2 linked regions of the Callithrix jacchus genome follow. The protein of the gene in region 1 interacts with the protein of each later gene in a biochemical or structural test. Links are inferred from orthologs where the notes say so. Each region holds a gene or a part of one and is shown in the gene's direction. Other genes may lie near its edges.

What was found. The genes of interacting proteins can lie anywhere in the genome.
Region 2: the proteins of ATP7B (region 1) and ATOX1 form a complex in vitro, tested with the Homo sapiens proteins (3 studies listed by BioGRID and IntAct). The link is inferred for Callithrix jacchus from reciprocal best matches to the Homo sapiens genes ATP7B and ATOX1.

Annotation. Positions count from the first base shown.
Region 1 is NC_133502.1:63,898,156-63,905,560, reverse strand, and holds part of ATP7B (copper-transporting ATPase 2), read left to right. Parts: intron 1-266; coding exon 267-293; intron 294-407; coding exon 408-551; intron 552-2,106; coding exon 2,107-2,249; intron 2,250-3,621; coding exon 3,622-3,825; intron 3,826-3,907; coding exon 3,908-4,025; intron 4,026-5,866; coding exon 5,867-5,969; intron 5,970-6,519; coding exon 6,520-6,793; 3' UTR 6,794-7,405. UniProt on the Homo sapiens protein: Copper ion transmembrane transporter involved in the export of copper out of the cells. It is involved in copper homeostasis in the liver, where it ensures the efflux of copper from hepatocytes into the bile in response to copper overload.
Region 2 is NC_133503.1:50,694,328-50,701,316, reverse strand, and holds part of ATOX1 (copper transport protein ATOX1), read left to right. Parts: intron 1-4,395; coding exon 4,396-4,520; 3' UTR 4,521-4,566; intron 4,567-6,989. UniProt on the Homo sapiens protein: Binds and deliver cytosolic copper to the copper ATPase proteins. May be important in cellular antioxidant defense.

The DNA of each region.
Region 1 (7,405 bases):
ATTATTTGTTGATTCACGTGGGGTCATCGATACCAAGCAGTAATGAACATCGTCAACACTTGCTTTGGGTGCTGGGGAAATAAATAAGTGCTTCTAATCCCTGCAGAAAAAGAATCAGTGGATACCTCTAAGACAGAGACGGACGTTGCCTTATGTTTAGTATGTTTATACCGTTTCCACCCATATAGCATGTACTATTAATGCCCCATCTTAATTCATACCCACATGTCCTACAAATTAATTTTACTTTTTTTCTTGTCCTAAAGGATGCTGTCACAGGAGGTGCTTACTAGGTAACAGTTTTTCAGAATGGCTAAATGGATATTTTGCTATTAAAAGGATTACATGGTTTTTAGTTTATAGTGAAATTGGACTATTTAGGAATAACCACAGCCTCTTTTGAATAGATGCAGCCCCCCAGACCTTCTCTGTGCTGATTGGAAACCGCGAATGGCTGAGGCGCAACGGCTTAACCATTTCCAACGATGTCAGTGACGCTATGACAGACCACGAGATGAAAGGACAGACGGCCATCCTGGTGGCTATTGATGGTATCTCCTGCTTCTGCCTTCCTTCCGCTCTCTCAGAAATGCAGTTTTCTGCAGATATCTGGCAAAAGAGTCCTCCTTTAAAAAAGAAATGAAAAACAAAAACCTTCCTCTCTTTAATTTCACGTCTTCAAAAAGATTGTCTTTTTGTCTTTTCGTTCTTTCCCACGGTCTCCATCTTGGCCCCAGAGCCAGCTGTGGTCTGGCCTCAGTCTTCTTGACCTTGGAATTCTAAACTGTCTTTGTTATCATTGTTGCTCTTGTCCAGGTGGGCAGTTCAGAGTCATCCTTCTCATTCATCCCTGTAGACAGAGCAGGAAACAGGTTTAACTACAGGACACCTTTAAATAATGAGATCCATGCTGCTCTTCTCTATCTACTTTATTTATTAATTATTATTATTATTAGGCCAAGTTTTGCTCTTGTCACCAAGGCTGGAGTGCAGTGGTACAATCTCGGCTTACTGCAACCTCCACCTCCTGGGTTCAAGTGATTCTCCTGCTGCAGCCTCCTGAGTAGCAGAGATTACAGGCACCTGCCAGCATGCCTGGCTAATTTTTGTATTTTTAGTAGAGATGGGGTTTCACCAGGCTGATCTGAAACTCCTGACCTTAGGTGATCTGCCCACCCCGGCTTCCTAAAGTGCTGGGATTACAGGTGTGAGCCACCATGTACGGCCCTTCTGTCTGTGCTTTATACAGACTGGTTGTGCACAGAGTACAGGTCTCAAGACTGCATGTGTTTTAGTGCTCAGATTCTATCCTGGGCTTTACATACCAGAGAGAGTAGAGTCTTTACTTTGTTAATATAAGTTTCTGCTAATAGAAGTAACAGTATATGCAAGCAAGAAATAAAACTTATGACACCACGTTTTGAATGCTTCAGCCAAATATGTCTTCCTCTCACATTCTCTTTTTTTTTTTTTTTTTTTTTCAATTTTTTCCAAGTCTTTATAAAGTCCTCTCAGCTGTCAAACCAGAATTGGCACAACTAAAGGAGTCGTGCCCTCTCATATGTCATCCCTCACTCTGTTCTCATTTACACCTCAGCCCTAAGAGCCCCCCTGCTTCTATAACTAAAAAGATACACTAAAAGCAAAATGCTGCAGAAATGTTTTCTGTAGGAAAAGGCAAATGAAGGATTGATTTTCTAGTTTGGACAGTTACCACTTTAAGTGACATCTGTTATATTTCTCAAATTTTAGTAGCTAATGTGTATTGAATTCTTATTTCAAGCCCGGCACCTTGCAAAATGTCATCCATTCTCCTTGCAGAAAGTTTGGAAAATTCAGCTATAAAGAAGAAAATGAAATTACTCATAATCCTCTTCTTCAGGGCGCCACTGCAAAGATTTTAATTATATTGCTTCTAGACTCTTGTGTGTGTCTGTAAAATGTGTGTACTTTTTAAAAAGCTAGAAAACCCCATGGTATTATTATATATAATCTGGTGTTTGTTTTTTGCACATAACACTGTATGATGAGAACATTGCAAGTATGGTAGCTCCGTGCGGGGTGCCCTATCCTGTGTAGCTGCTGATGCTGGCTGGTTTGCTCCAGGTGTGCTCTGTGGGATGATTGCTATAGCAGATGCTGTCAAGCAGGAGGCCGCCTTGGCTGTGCACACGCTGCAGAGCATGGGTGTAGATGTGGTTCTGATCACGGGGGACAACCGGAAGACAGCCAGAGCCATTGCCACCCAGGTACAGCCCTTTAATGTTGCAAACTGTGTAAAGCTCATAGTAGCAGTTAGAGGCAAAAGTAAGCACCAGTTGGCCCAGCGCTCAGCAGTACTCCTGCTCTTTCCCCTTCACTGGGTGCTTTTCTCTCCACGTGCATCATTCTGTGGCTGTGCAGTGTTCCACGAGTGCTGTGCTGCTGTGCAGAGATCTTATCCCTGGGGCCTGAGCGCATGCATCCTAGAAAAAGGAATTCTGCTGTTCTCTAACCTTCTTCTAGTCTTCGTGATGGAAAAAAAGTTTGTGGCTTAAGGGCTAAGATAGACATTTTCTAATTTTTATGTTAAGGGAAGATTTTGCCAGCTCAGCTTTTCTCACTGGGGTGCCCAGATAAGTGACTTGGTCCTGGGCAGTTCTCCAGCAGCCCTTGGTGCTGAGTTTGGGCTGTGAGCACAGCACCACTGGAGGGCTGCCTGGCTCCCCACATAGCAGTGGCTCCAGTTTAGATTCCTAGAAATTACACCCCTCCAAATGCGTGCAGAGCTCTAGTCATCTGAAAGCCTCATTATGTCCATGAGGGAAAAATCAGGACCCCTGTTTTCCGTGGTCCTCCTTGCTAACAATGGACCTATTGAGTGTCCATCCCCCATTTCCTGGCTAACACTTGTTCATCTGTTCAGCGGACACTTACAAAATACCACAAATGTGACAGTCAGGTGTGGGGCCAGGCTCTGTGAGGAGTGAAAGGGGCTCTGCGCTTGAGGGGCTTATGGTCCTATGGAAAGGTGGACCAGGGACAGGGCATAGAGCTGAGAAGCGGGAGAGGGACTAGGAAAGGGAAACTGCACCTTCCAGGACACAACCAGCAGCAGGAGCATTTCCCAGGGGCACAGAGTAGCAAGGTGATTGGAGATGCTGCGGGGAGCTGAATGGTGTGGTTGAGTGTGACACCAGCTGCAGGCCGTCAGGCAGAGGCCAGACCCTGGGACCCTGGGGGCCTCGGAAGCAGACCCCAGAGAGTTGAGCTGCCCTCCTCTGGGAGTGCGTGGGGTCCTCTGGAGGATGTGAGGCAGGAGAGTAGGGACTTGGCCACACAGTTGCTTTGGGAAGACTGTGGAGGCAGCACATGGATAAGAGAGTTGGGGGACTAAGCGGTGGACAGGGAGAACAGCAAGGGGGCTGTTTGCACATCCAGGAAAGGACGGGTCCTAAACCAGTATAGGGTGTTGGGGCAGGAGCCAGGGAGAAGGTGGCCTTATGACAGCAAACCTGCAGGGTATAGTTGACCAACATCACTGACTGGACCCAGGGGCAGAGGGGGCAAGGGTAACTTGGGGTTTCTGCTGCAGTTCGATACCTTTTGCCAACACCAGGCGTTGCCTTCCTTTCCTCTTAGGTTGGCATCAACAAAGTCTTTGCAGAGGTGCTGCCTTCCCACAAGGTGGCCAAGGTCCAGGAGCTTCAGAACAAAGGGAAGAAAGTCGCCATGGTGGGAGACGGGGTGAATGACTCTCCGGCCTTGGCCCAGGCAGACATGGGTGTCGCCATCGGCACTGGCACAGATGTGGCCATTGAGGCAGCCGACGTCGTCCTCATTAGAGTGAGCACAGCTGTAGCCAGGCTGTGGGAGCTGGGAGGGCGATGGGCAGACCCCTTCCTCACCGCGTGCTCCTCTCCCTTAGAATGATTTGCTGGATGTGGTGGCTAGCATTCACCTTTCCAAGAGGACTGTCCGGAGGATACGCATCAACCTGGTCCTGGCACTGATTTATAACCTGGTTGGGATACCCATTGCGGCAGGTAGGCAGCTCTTAACTACTGTGCTTCAGCTGTGCCCAGAAAGGCTTCTCCCTCCTGGGTTCCTGCTGAGGTTAGTGAGTGGCTTACTCACTGGCTGGCTAGAGGCGTTTTAGAAAGGCTGGTTTTGTTATGTCCCCTGCTTTATATGTCTCTAAAGGTAAATGAGAAAGTGCTGAGAGGACCCAAAGCCTTCATCCACTCTGATCCTTTCTAAAAAGCTAGTGGAGATGCTTGGGTATGTTTTTGAACCATTTGTTAAGACATATAGTCTGAGAATTCATCATTAGTAAGAATTATGAGGCACCTGCTACATGCTAGGAGCATTTTTTTTTGAGATGGAGTGTCACTCTTGTCGCCCAGCCTGGAGTGCAGTGGCACAATCTTGTCTCACTGCAACCTCCACCTCCTCAGTTCAAGCAATACTCCTGCCTCAGGCTCCCAAGTGGCTAGAATTACAGGCATGTGCCACCATGCCCAGCTAAGTTTTGTATTTTTAGTAGAGATGGGGTTTCACCATGTTGGCCAGGCTTGAGCTCCTGACCTCAGATGATCCGCCAGCCTTGTCTTTGCAAGGTGCTGTGATTACAGGTGTGAGCCACCACACCCAACCATGTTAGGCACAATTGCTGGTGTTTCAGAACCTTATATTGGACACTAATCCTGCCCAGTTTCACTCTGATTTATACAGATGATCATGGAAAGAAATGGCTTTTTGTCCAGGCATGCTGTCTCATGCCTGTAATCCCAACACTTTGGGAGGCTAAGGCAGGAGGATCACTTGAGCTCAGGAGTTCAAGACCCGCCTGGGCAACATAGAGTCTCCCTTTACATAACATTTTAAAATTAGCTGGGCATGGTAGCATATACCTTAGTCCCATCTGGGAGTACAGAGGTTGCGGCAGGAGGATGTATTGCGTCCAGGAGCTGGAGGTGGCAGTGAGCCATGATCACACCACTGCGCTCTAGCCCGGGCACGAGTGAAACTCTCAGGAAAAGAAAAAAGGAAAATAAATGGATTTTTCTGCTTTGTAATTCCTCCTCCTTCCCCCTCCCCAGCAACCGCCTCTCTCCTGCCCTCTATTCCATGGAATATGGCAGGGAAAACTTCCAGACCCTTCTGCAAGGCAGTGCTCCTCCATGGGCTTAAGAGAGATCAAGTTTGTAAACTCAGCATTCCTGCCTGGGTTTCCCTTGTGTCTGAGTGGTTAGTGATGATGTGTATAACTGGGCCTTGGCCTCCTGAGCCCAGTGAGTCAGTCAGGCAGGTTTATTTCCTGTCCCTAGAGCCAGCTCAGGAGCTTCATTCCCCCAGTGTGTGTGCCTCTGCCATGCAAAATTGACCATACCTGTCTCCTGACCCTGTCCTGGAACCCAGCTCTCATTCTTCTCTTGAAGATGTTACGAAGCCCTGGAGTCAACATTATCTTCTAGACAAGGGCTGTGGCCTTCAGCCGTGATTATCCTCTGCGGGACTATGGCTGCAGGATGGGCTACTGGCTCCCTCACCTCCTGCCACTTTTCTCCTCCCCCGCCCCTCCCACTCCCTGTGCTTTGCCACTCCTGTGGAGCTGGCCCTGAAATGGGATGCCATCTGTGTGTGGTTCTGGGAACATGAGGGCGAGTAGAAGAGAGTCAGGCCCACTCGACAGCACCCCACACCCATCTTTCTAGGAAGCCTCGCTTTGGGGACCTATAGGCAAGACCCATCAGCAGGTGCTTCCAAGCATGCCAGGAGGAGACCTCCAAGGGGGCCACTGAGGGTGGGGCTAGCCTGGTGCTGGAGGCCCTCTCCTGGCTCCTCTCCCAGGCCTAGGTGTGAGTGTGAGTTCTTTCTTCCCCAGGTGTCTTCATGCCCATCGGCATTGTGCTGCAGCCCTGGATGGGCTCGGCAGCCATGGCAGCCTCCTCCGTGTCTGTGGTGCTCTCATCCCTGCAGCTCAAGTGGTGAGTCCCTGCAGGTGGGGCATCTGTGAGAGGCTCCCAGGAGGCTCTGTCACTCTGCATGCTCAAGGCACAGTGGGTCTTGCCTCTCACTCCCCATTCATTTGCCTGGGATAAATGCTGCAGTGGCAGCCCACATGGAGCCAGGTGTGTGTGCGTGTGACTTAGCACCCTGAGCAGGCAGTTCACTGCTGTGCAGCCTCATGCCAGGCTGCCCTTACTCTGCCGCTCAAGGGCTGTTATGTGAACATCATGCAGACATGGGTCCCTGTGTATTATCTATCATTGTTTCCTTTAAACAAGATGTTCACTTATTTATGAGTCCATTCATTTAACTAAAGTTAGTGGCAGCATAAAGCATTTGCTTAGGAAGTTTCTAAATCAGTTGAGCTTTCCTGGAACCATAGGGAGTTTAATGCCCTTTTCCTTTGAAACTCTTGAGGTTTTTATACTGAATGTTATGAAAAGATGGATGAGAGGCCTTCACCAGGTTAGAAAAAAAAGAGCCTTGTATCTAGAATGGCTCAGATGCTGTTGCATTCCTGCTTTCCAGCTATAAGAAGCCTGAACTGGAGAGGTACGAGGCACAGGTGCACGGCCGCATAAAGCCCCTGACGGCATCCCAGGTCAGTGTGCACATCGGCATGGATGACAGGCGGAGGGACTCCCCCAGGGCCACGCCATGGGACCAGGTCAGCTATGTCAGCCAGGTGTCGCTGTCCTCCCTGACGTCTGACAAGCCATCCCGGCACAGCGCTACAGTGGATGATGGTGGGGACAAGTGGTCTCTGCTCCTGAATGACAGGGATGAGGAGCAGTACATCTGATGGCTCCAGGCGGGCAGGGACTTGCCTCCACTCGCCACAAGCCAAGCAGGACAGCCAGCTGCAGGATGAGCAGAGCTAGCTTCCAGCTTTGGGGACTTCCACTCCCTGGACATGTCCGGTCACCCCGCCCTGCGATGTGTGGCCTTGTCTGGGTGGAGCTGGCCTTGGCCTGGAGAGGATGTTCCTGCCTGCTTCCTGGCCTCACTGGGCCATCAGCATGGGCTTTGTCTTGGACTCTAGTCCTTGCCTGTAGGACTGTAGAAGATGAGAAGTGAGTCACCCTCCTCACAGACCTTTTCTGGAGTATTTAGGATGACTGCTGTGAAATGGAGAACAGTTTCATCAGGACCAAAAAACCTCGCTGGGACTTTCCAGAGAACCAGACCTCACTGTCAGGCTCTTTCTGATGACGCCTGCGTGCCTCATGTTTCTGAGACCACAGTTTACCTCAAGTGTGTCTGTTGCTTTCTGCCTGCACAGTCTGTTCTTTTTCTGACCTGTGTGCTTTCACTGGGGACCCCGTGTGACCCTGCCTATCACCTAGGAGGGTGTCCTTGTGGTCCCTGCTGCTGCTCTCAGGTGCTTCTCCATGCTCTGGAGTGTGCATTTCAA
Region 2 (6,989 bases), on another chromosome or scaffold:
ACTGGGCATGGTGGCTCACACCTATAATCCCAGCACTTTGGGAGGCCGAGGTTGGTTGATCACTAGGTCAGGAGTTCAAGACCAGCCTGACCAACATGGTGATACCCTGTCTCTACTAAAAATACAAAAAAAAAAAAAAAAAAAAAGTGCTTTTATGCAGGGGGCGGGGGGGCGGGGGAGACAGAGTTTTGCTCTTCTTACCCAGCCTAGAGTGTAATGGTGTGATCTCAGCTCACTGCAACCTCAGCTCACTGCAGCCTCCGCCTCCTGGGTTCAAGTGATTCTCCTGCCTCAGCCTCCCAAGTAGGGATTACAGGCATGTGTCACTACACCCAGCTAATTTTGTATATTTAGTAGAGAGAGGGTTTTTCCATGTTGGTCAGGCTGGTCTCGAACTCCCAACCTGAGGTGATCTGCCCACCTTGGCCTCCCAGAGTGCTGGGATTATAGGCATGAGCCACTGTGTCTGACCTATGTTAAGATTTTTTTAAATGGGGCTGGGCACAGTGGCTCACACCTGTGATCCCAGCATTTTTTGGAAGGCTGAGGTGTGCAGTTTGCCTGAGCTCAGGAGTTCTTGAGACCAGCCTGGGAAACATGGTAAAACCACATCTCTACAAAAAATAGCAAAAGAATTAGGCAGGCATGGTGGCACATGCCTGTCCTTCCAGTTACTGTGTGGGGCCGAGGTGGGAGGATCACTTCAGCCCGGGAGTTTGAGGCTGCAGTTAGCAAGACCTGTATCCAAGAAAAAAGAGAGATTTTTTAAAACGATAACAATTTTTAAAATTTTGTCCTTTTCTCTTTACTTCAAAAAAAAAGTTTTTAATTAATTTTGAATCACTCACATGCAGATTTTTTTTTTTTTTTTTGAGATGGAGTCTTGCTCTGTTGCCCAGGCTAGAGTCCATTGGGGTGATCTCGGCTCGATGTAACCTCTGCCTCATGGGTTCAGATGATTTTCAGCTAATTTTTGTATTTTTCATAGAGACATGGTTTCACTGTGTTGGCTGGGCTGGTCTTGGGCTGCTGATCTCAAGTGATCCACCTGCCTTTGCCTCCCAAAATGCTAGGATTATAGGCATGAGCCACCGTGCCTGGCCCTGTAGATATTCTTAAAGCACCTCTTTTGAACAGCCATTCTCATCTAGCCTTGTCATTTCAGAGCTGGGGAAACTGAGGCCCAGAGAGGGCTGGGATCTGGCCCTGGGGCTGAATGAGGTAATAATTGAGTTGTGATCAGAGTTTTGGCAGTGCCTGCACTCAGTCAGCCTTTCTCAGATTTTTTCCTTTTCTTTCTCCTTGACATGAACTATCACAAAATTTTCTAAAAAAAATTTTTTAAACCGTAAATAATAATGATATTAAGTTTTCAAATGGCTTCCACATGGATGTGATCTTATTAGCAGTCCTCTGAGCTGTACTTTCCATCTTTGGAATGGGGATATTGAGGCCAGTGCTCAGGAGGGGAAGTGACTTGCCCAGAGTCCCACAGTGAGTCAGTGGTTGGCCTCTAGCCCTGTGAACTGGGATCTTAATATGAAAGAACCTGAGGCAGTGGAAAAAACCTGGCTGCTGACTTGCTACGTGACTGTGGGCTCTTCTTCCTTAGGCCTGGGTTTCCCCAGCTGTAGTATGGGAATTATATCTTGTATATCTGTATCAGCTTTTGCTGTTGATGCTTTTTTTTTTTTTTCTGAGATGGAGTTTCGATCTGTTGCCCAGGCTAGAGTGAAGTGGTGCAACCTCGGCTCACTGCAACCTGTGTTCCCGCCCCATGCCAGGCTCAAACAATTCTCTTGCCTCAACCTCCTGAGTAGCTGGGATTAAAGGTGCCCACCACCAAGCCTGGCTGATTTTTTTTTTTTTCTTTTGAGACAGAGTTTCACTCTTGTTGCCCAGGCTGGAGTGCAATGGCACAATCTCGGCTCACTGCAACCTCCACCTCCCAAGTTCAAGCGACTCTCCTGCCTTACCCTCCCGAGTAGCTGGGATTACAGCCACATGCCACCACACTGAGCTAATTTTTGTATTTTTAGTAGAGACAGAGTTTCACCATGTTAGCCAGGCTGGTCTTGAATTCCTAACCTCAGGTAATCCACCCACCTCAGCCTCCCAAAGTGCTGTGATTAAAGGCATGAGCCACCATGCCCAGCCAACCATATGATTTTTAAGGTCCCTTGCTGGAGGATCTGCCTTTGAGCTTCAGCGTCATCTTTTGTCCCCATCTTTTCCTACTGTCCCCTTTTGTGTGACCTCTTGAGAAGGGTCAGGAGGGTTTTCTGAGTTGCTTAGGACCCTAAAAGAACGATGCTAGGGCTGAGGAGTCACAGACTAGTGGCATCCTTGAGCTGGAAAGACCACAGGAGCTGGCCAGCCCTGACTCCTTCATATACAGATGAGGTAGCTGAGGCCTGTAAGAAGCAGGACCCGCCATCACCCCGTGGTCACCCAGCAAGTCAACTGTGGGGCCAGGCCTACAACCTGTTGAGTTTCCCTTTCTTTCTGCACTGTTTTGTCAGAATAAAACTCTAATTCCTCCCATAGGCTGCTGGGGAGCTTTAAATTGGCATATACATTTAGGAGAGTGATTTTGCAATGTCTATTAAACATTAAAAATGTGCCAAACATCTGTTGCCCCACAATTTCCATTCTGTGAATCCATGGTATAAAAATATTTTTATAAATTTTTTAAGACAAGTTCAGGTATGTTTACTATAACATTATTGTGATAGTGGTGAAACTTAGAAGCATCCTCAGTGACCTTTAGCAGTGGATTAATTAAGTAGATGTGTGGTACATCCACACTATGGAAGATTGTAGCTTTTGATAAAAGAATGGGGTTGGGTGCAGTGGCTCATGCCTGTAATCCCAGCTACTCAGGAGGCTGAGGCAAGAGAATCACTTGAACCCGGGAGGCAGAGGCTGCAGCAGTGAGCTGAGATCACCCCACTGCGCTCCCACCTGGACGACAAAATGAGACTGTCTCAAAAAAAAAAAAGAATGGGCCAGCTACAGTGGCTCACACCTGTAGTCCCAGCACTATGGGAAGCTGAGGCAGGTAGATCGCTTGAGCCCAGAAGTTCAAGACCAGCCTGGACAATATGTAAAACTCTGTCTCTACATAAAATACAAAACTTAACCAGGCATGGTGGCATGTGCCTGTAGTTACAGCAACTTGGGAGGCTGAGACGGGAGGATCACGTGAGCCTGGGTGTTCGAGGTTGCAGTGATTTGTGAATGTGCCACTGTACTCCAGCCTGGATAACACAGTGATACCCTGTCTCAAAAAAAAAAAATTAAAATTAATGAAGAAAAAGAAAAGTAAAATATTAGCAAGACCGGTTTATACAATGTGATACCATTTGGAAGAGTTATTTTTCATTTGTCTATCTGTGATAGTCTGAATAGAAGCCGTACTTTTCACAGTGATCTCTGGGGGTAGGATCAGTAGGGGGCCTTACTGCTTCTACATATATTTAGAAATGTTTGCTTTTTTGAAAAAAAAAATTGGCTGGGTGCAGTGGCTCATGCCTGTAATCCCAGCGCTTTAGGAGGCCAAGGCGAGCAGATCACTTGAGGTTAGGAGTTCGAGACTAGCCTAGCCAACATGACTAAACCTTGACTCTACTAAAAATACAAAAATTTGCCAGGTGTGGTAGCATATACCTGTAATTCTAGTTACTCTGGAAGCTAAGGCACAAAAATCACTTATACCCAGGAGGTGGAGGTTGCAGTGAGCTGAGATCGTACCACTGCATTCCAGCTTGGGCAGTAGAGTGTGTCTGTGTCTCAAAAAGCCCTAGTATAGAGCAGGGATTAACACACTACAGCCCATGGACCAAATCCTACTCACAGCCTATTTTTGTACGTTCAAGAATGGAATTATAAAAACAGACAGAATGGCTGGGTGTGGTGGCTCACGTCTGTAATCCTAGCACTTTGTGAGGCTGAGGCATTAGACCAGCCTGGCCAACATGGTGAAACCTCGTCTCAACTAAAAATACAAAAATTAGCCTGTTCTAGTGGTGGGTGCCTATAATCCCTGCTACTTGGGAGGCTGAGGCAGGAGAATCTCTTGAACCTGGGAGGTGGAGGTTTCATTGAGCTGAGATCATGCCACTGCACTCCAGCCTGGGCAACAGAGTGAGACTCTGTCTCAAAAATAAATAAAATAAATAAATAAATAAAACAATATACAACAGAGTGCATATGTGGCCCACAATGCCCAAAACATTTACCTCCTGGTCCGTTACAGAAGAAGTTTGCCAATCCCTGCTCTAGAGAAAAGGGAAGGGGTAGTTGTGAGTAGTAATTTAGAGCCTGAACTCTTTCTTGCTGTAACTGGGAGGGTCTCTGCTCCCTTTCCCCACACCCTGTTTCCTCTTCCTGCAGGAGTTAAGTATGACATTGACCTGCCTAACAAGAAGGTCTGCATTGAATCTGAGCACAGCATGGACACTCTGCTTGCAACCCTGAAGAAAACAGGAAAGACTGTGTCCTACCTTGGCCTCGAGTAGCAGGGACCTGGTCCCCACAGCCCGCAGGATGGACCAAAGGGGGCAGGTGGGTGAGGCTCCAGCACTTGCTGAACAAACCTGCTGCTCACACTTCTCATCAGAGTTAACACCTTGGCCTTTGAGAGCTTGAGTGGAGCAGGAGAGCCCCCGGGTTCTTTTCAATCCACTGTCCACTTTCTTTGGAGTGGTTACAAATATATGTCTAATGCAAATCACAAGTTCAGGGAATCCTTACAGCCCCTGTCATTGGACAGAGCACTGTGTAATGTCTCCCAGAGTCCTCTTTAGGATGTGGGGGTTGCATTTCATGGTTAGCAGGGTTTAAGTTTATAGTATATGACCCTAAGCAATGCACCTTTGGCTTCTTGATTTGTTTGTTTCTTTGAGACAGTGTTTCACTCTGTGGCCCAGGCTGGAGGGCAGTAGCTCTTCATAGGTGTGATCACAGTGCACTGTATACTTTAACTCCTGGGCTCAAGTCATCCTCCTGCCCCAGCTTTCTAAGTAGCTGGAACTACAGGCACATATCACCATGCATGGCTCTGGCTTTGATAAACTGACTATCTCATCAGAGTTGACACTTTTGCCTTGGGCCTTGTTCTCTTGTACCCTGACCAAGTGAGTTAATTCAGACTGTGCCACTCTCTCTACTTGAAACTGTTGTCAGCTTCCTGCACATGCCCTCCTTCCAGCCTGGTACAAAAACAATAGCATATCTGAGCTAGATGTTCCCTTCACTTTTATGTAATCCAGTGAGGCAGTAAGGGGCACTGTGCCAGCACTCTTCACTCTGGAACCAGACACACCTTATTCATTGATTCAGCCACAGTCTCAGCAGGGCCCTCCCAGCTGCCACTGCCCCTGTAGTGTCTTTGACTTGTGAACTACAATGATCGCCACATCCCTGATGTGACTTAGTGCCCTGACTGTGATTGAGAAAAATGAGGCCAAGAGAGGGAAAGTGATTCAACCAAAGCCCCACCCAGGTGAGTGGCAAAGGCAGGAGGACAGTCAGATATCCTGAATTGGATTTCTGTAACTGTTACTGGTGGCATTGTCCCTGTGAATGGGTCCTGGAGACCCTCCAGATAGGAGCCAGCCACAGCTGACTGATAGTTCCTTCCCAAAGGTGTACATTTGGAACCTGAGCCACAGCAGTGCTCTGTGTATGTGGTGACATCAAATGCAAGTCACAAGATGTCACAGGCATCTGTTTTTGTCATGCACTTTTCATCCATAGCTAGAACCCATGTGCAGGAATGAGCCCAGGATGAATAATAAGGAATCCAGAATTCTTTTTTTTTTTTTTTGAGATGGAGTTTTGCTCTTGTTACCCAGACTGGAGTGCAGTGGCGCAATCTCGGCTCACCACAACCTCCACCTCCTGGGTTCAGGCAATTCTCCTGCCTCAGCCTCCTGAGTAGCTGGGGATTACAGGCACGCGCCACTATGCCCAGCTAATTTTTTGTATTTTTAGTAGAGACAAGGTTTCACCATGTTGACCAGGATGGTCTTGATCTCTTGACCTCGTGATCCACCCGCCTTGGCCTCCCAAGTGCTGGATTACAGGTGTGAGCCACTGCGCCCGGCCCTCTTTTTTTTTTTTTTTTTTTTGAGGCAGAGTCTTGCTCTGTTGCCCAGGCTAAAGTGCAGTGATACGATCTTCGCTCGCTGCAACGTCTGCCTCCCGGGTTCAAGCGATTATCAGCCTCATGAGTAGCTGGGATTACAGGCACCTGCCACTGTGCCAGGCTAATTTTTGTATTTTTAGTAGAGATGGAGTTTCACCATCTGGCCAGGCTGGTCTCAAACTGGCCTTGTGATCCACCCCCCTCAGCCTCTCAAAGTGGGATTATGGGCATGAGCCACTGTGCCCAGCCTGGAATCTAGGATTCTAATTCTCATTCTCTCCTCATTTCACACTGACTTTGGACACTTTTTATATTACAGAGATTTGTTCTTCCCAGCTGTAAAATGGAGCTAAAACCTCCAACCTGCTTTCCTGCCTTGTGGGGGTTGCTGTGCAATTTCTCCACATATGAAGGCTTATCCTCTAGGGAAGTAAAACATCAGCAGTTTCCAGCATCTTATAGAACACCGTTTCTTACATCCTACCTCCACCCCTAGGGTTTTGTAGGGAGGGTGAGTGGATGGGGCTCTGGACCCTCCAGAGCTCCCAGACAGCCCTATTGGGCTTTTCTGTAAGATTGTATTTGATAAAAGTGCCCTCTAACAAGAAGGAATGGAGGGAGAGAAGGAAAAAACCTCTTCCTGAGCTAGCTATATACATGGGGGAGTCCTAATGCACACATCTTAGATTAGAAACTCTTGGCCTGGGCATATGAACTTTTTTAACTAAAAAAGTATTATCTGTTGGATGTAAACCACATGAAGCTTAATGTGGTTTTCTCATAGGAAACATGTTTTCTCATGTTATTGATATGAAATTCACAAGATATTATAATTAAC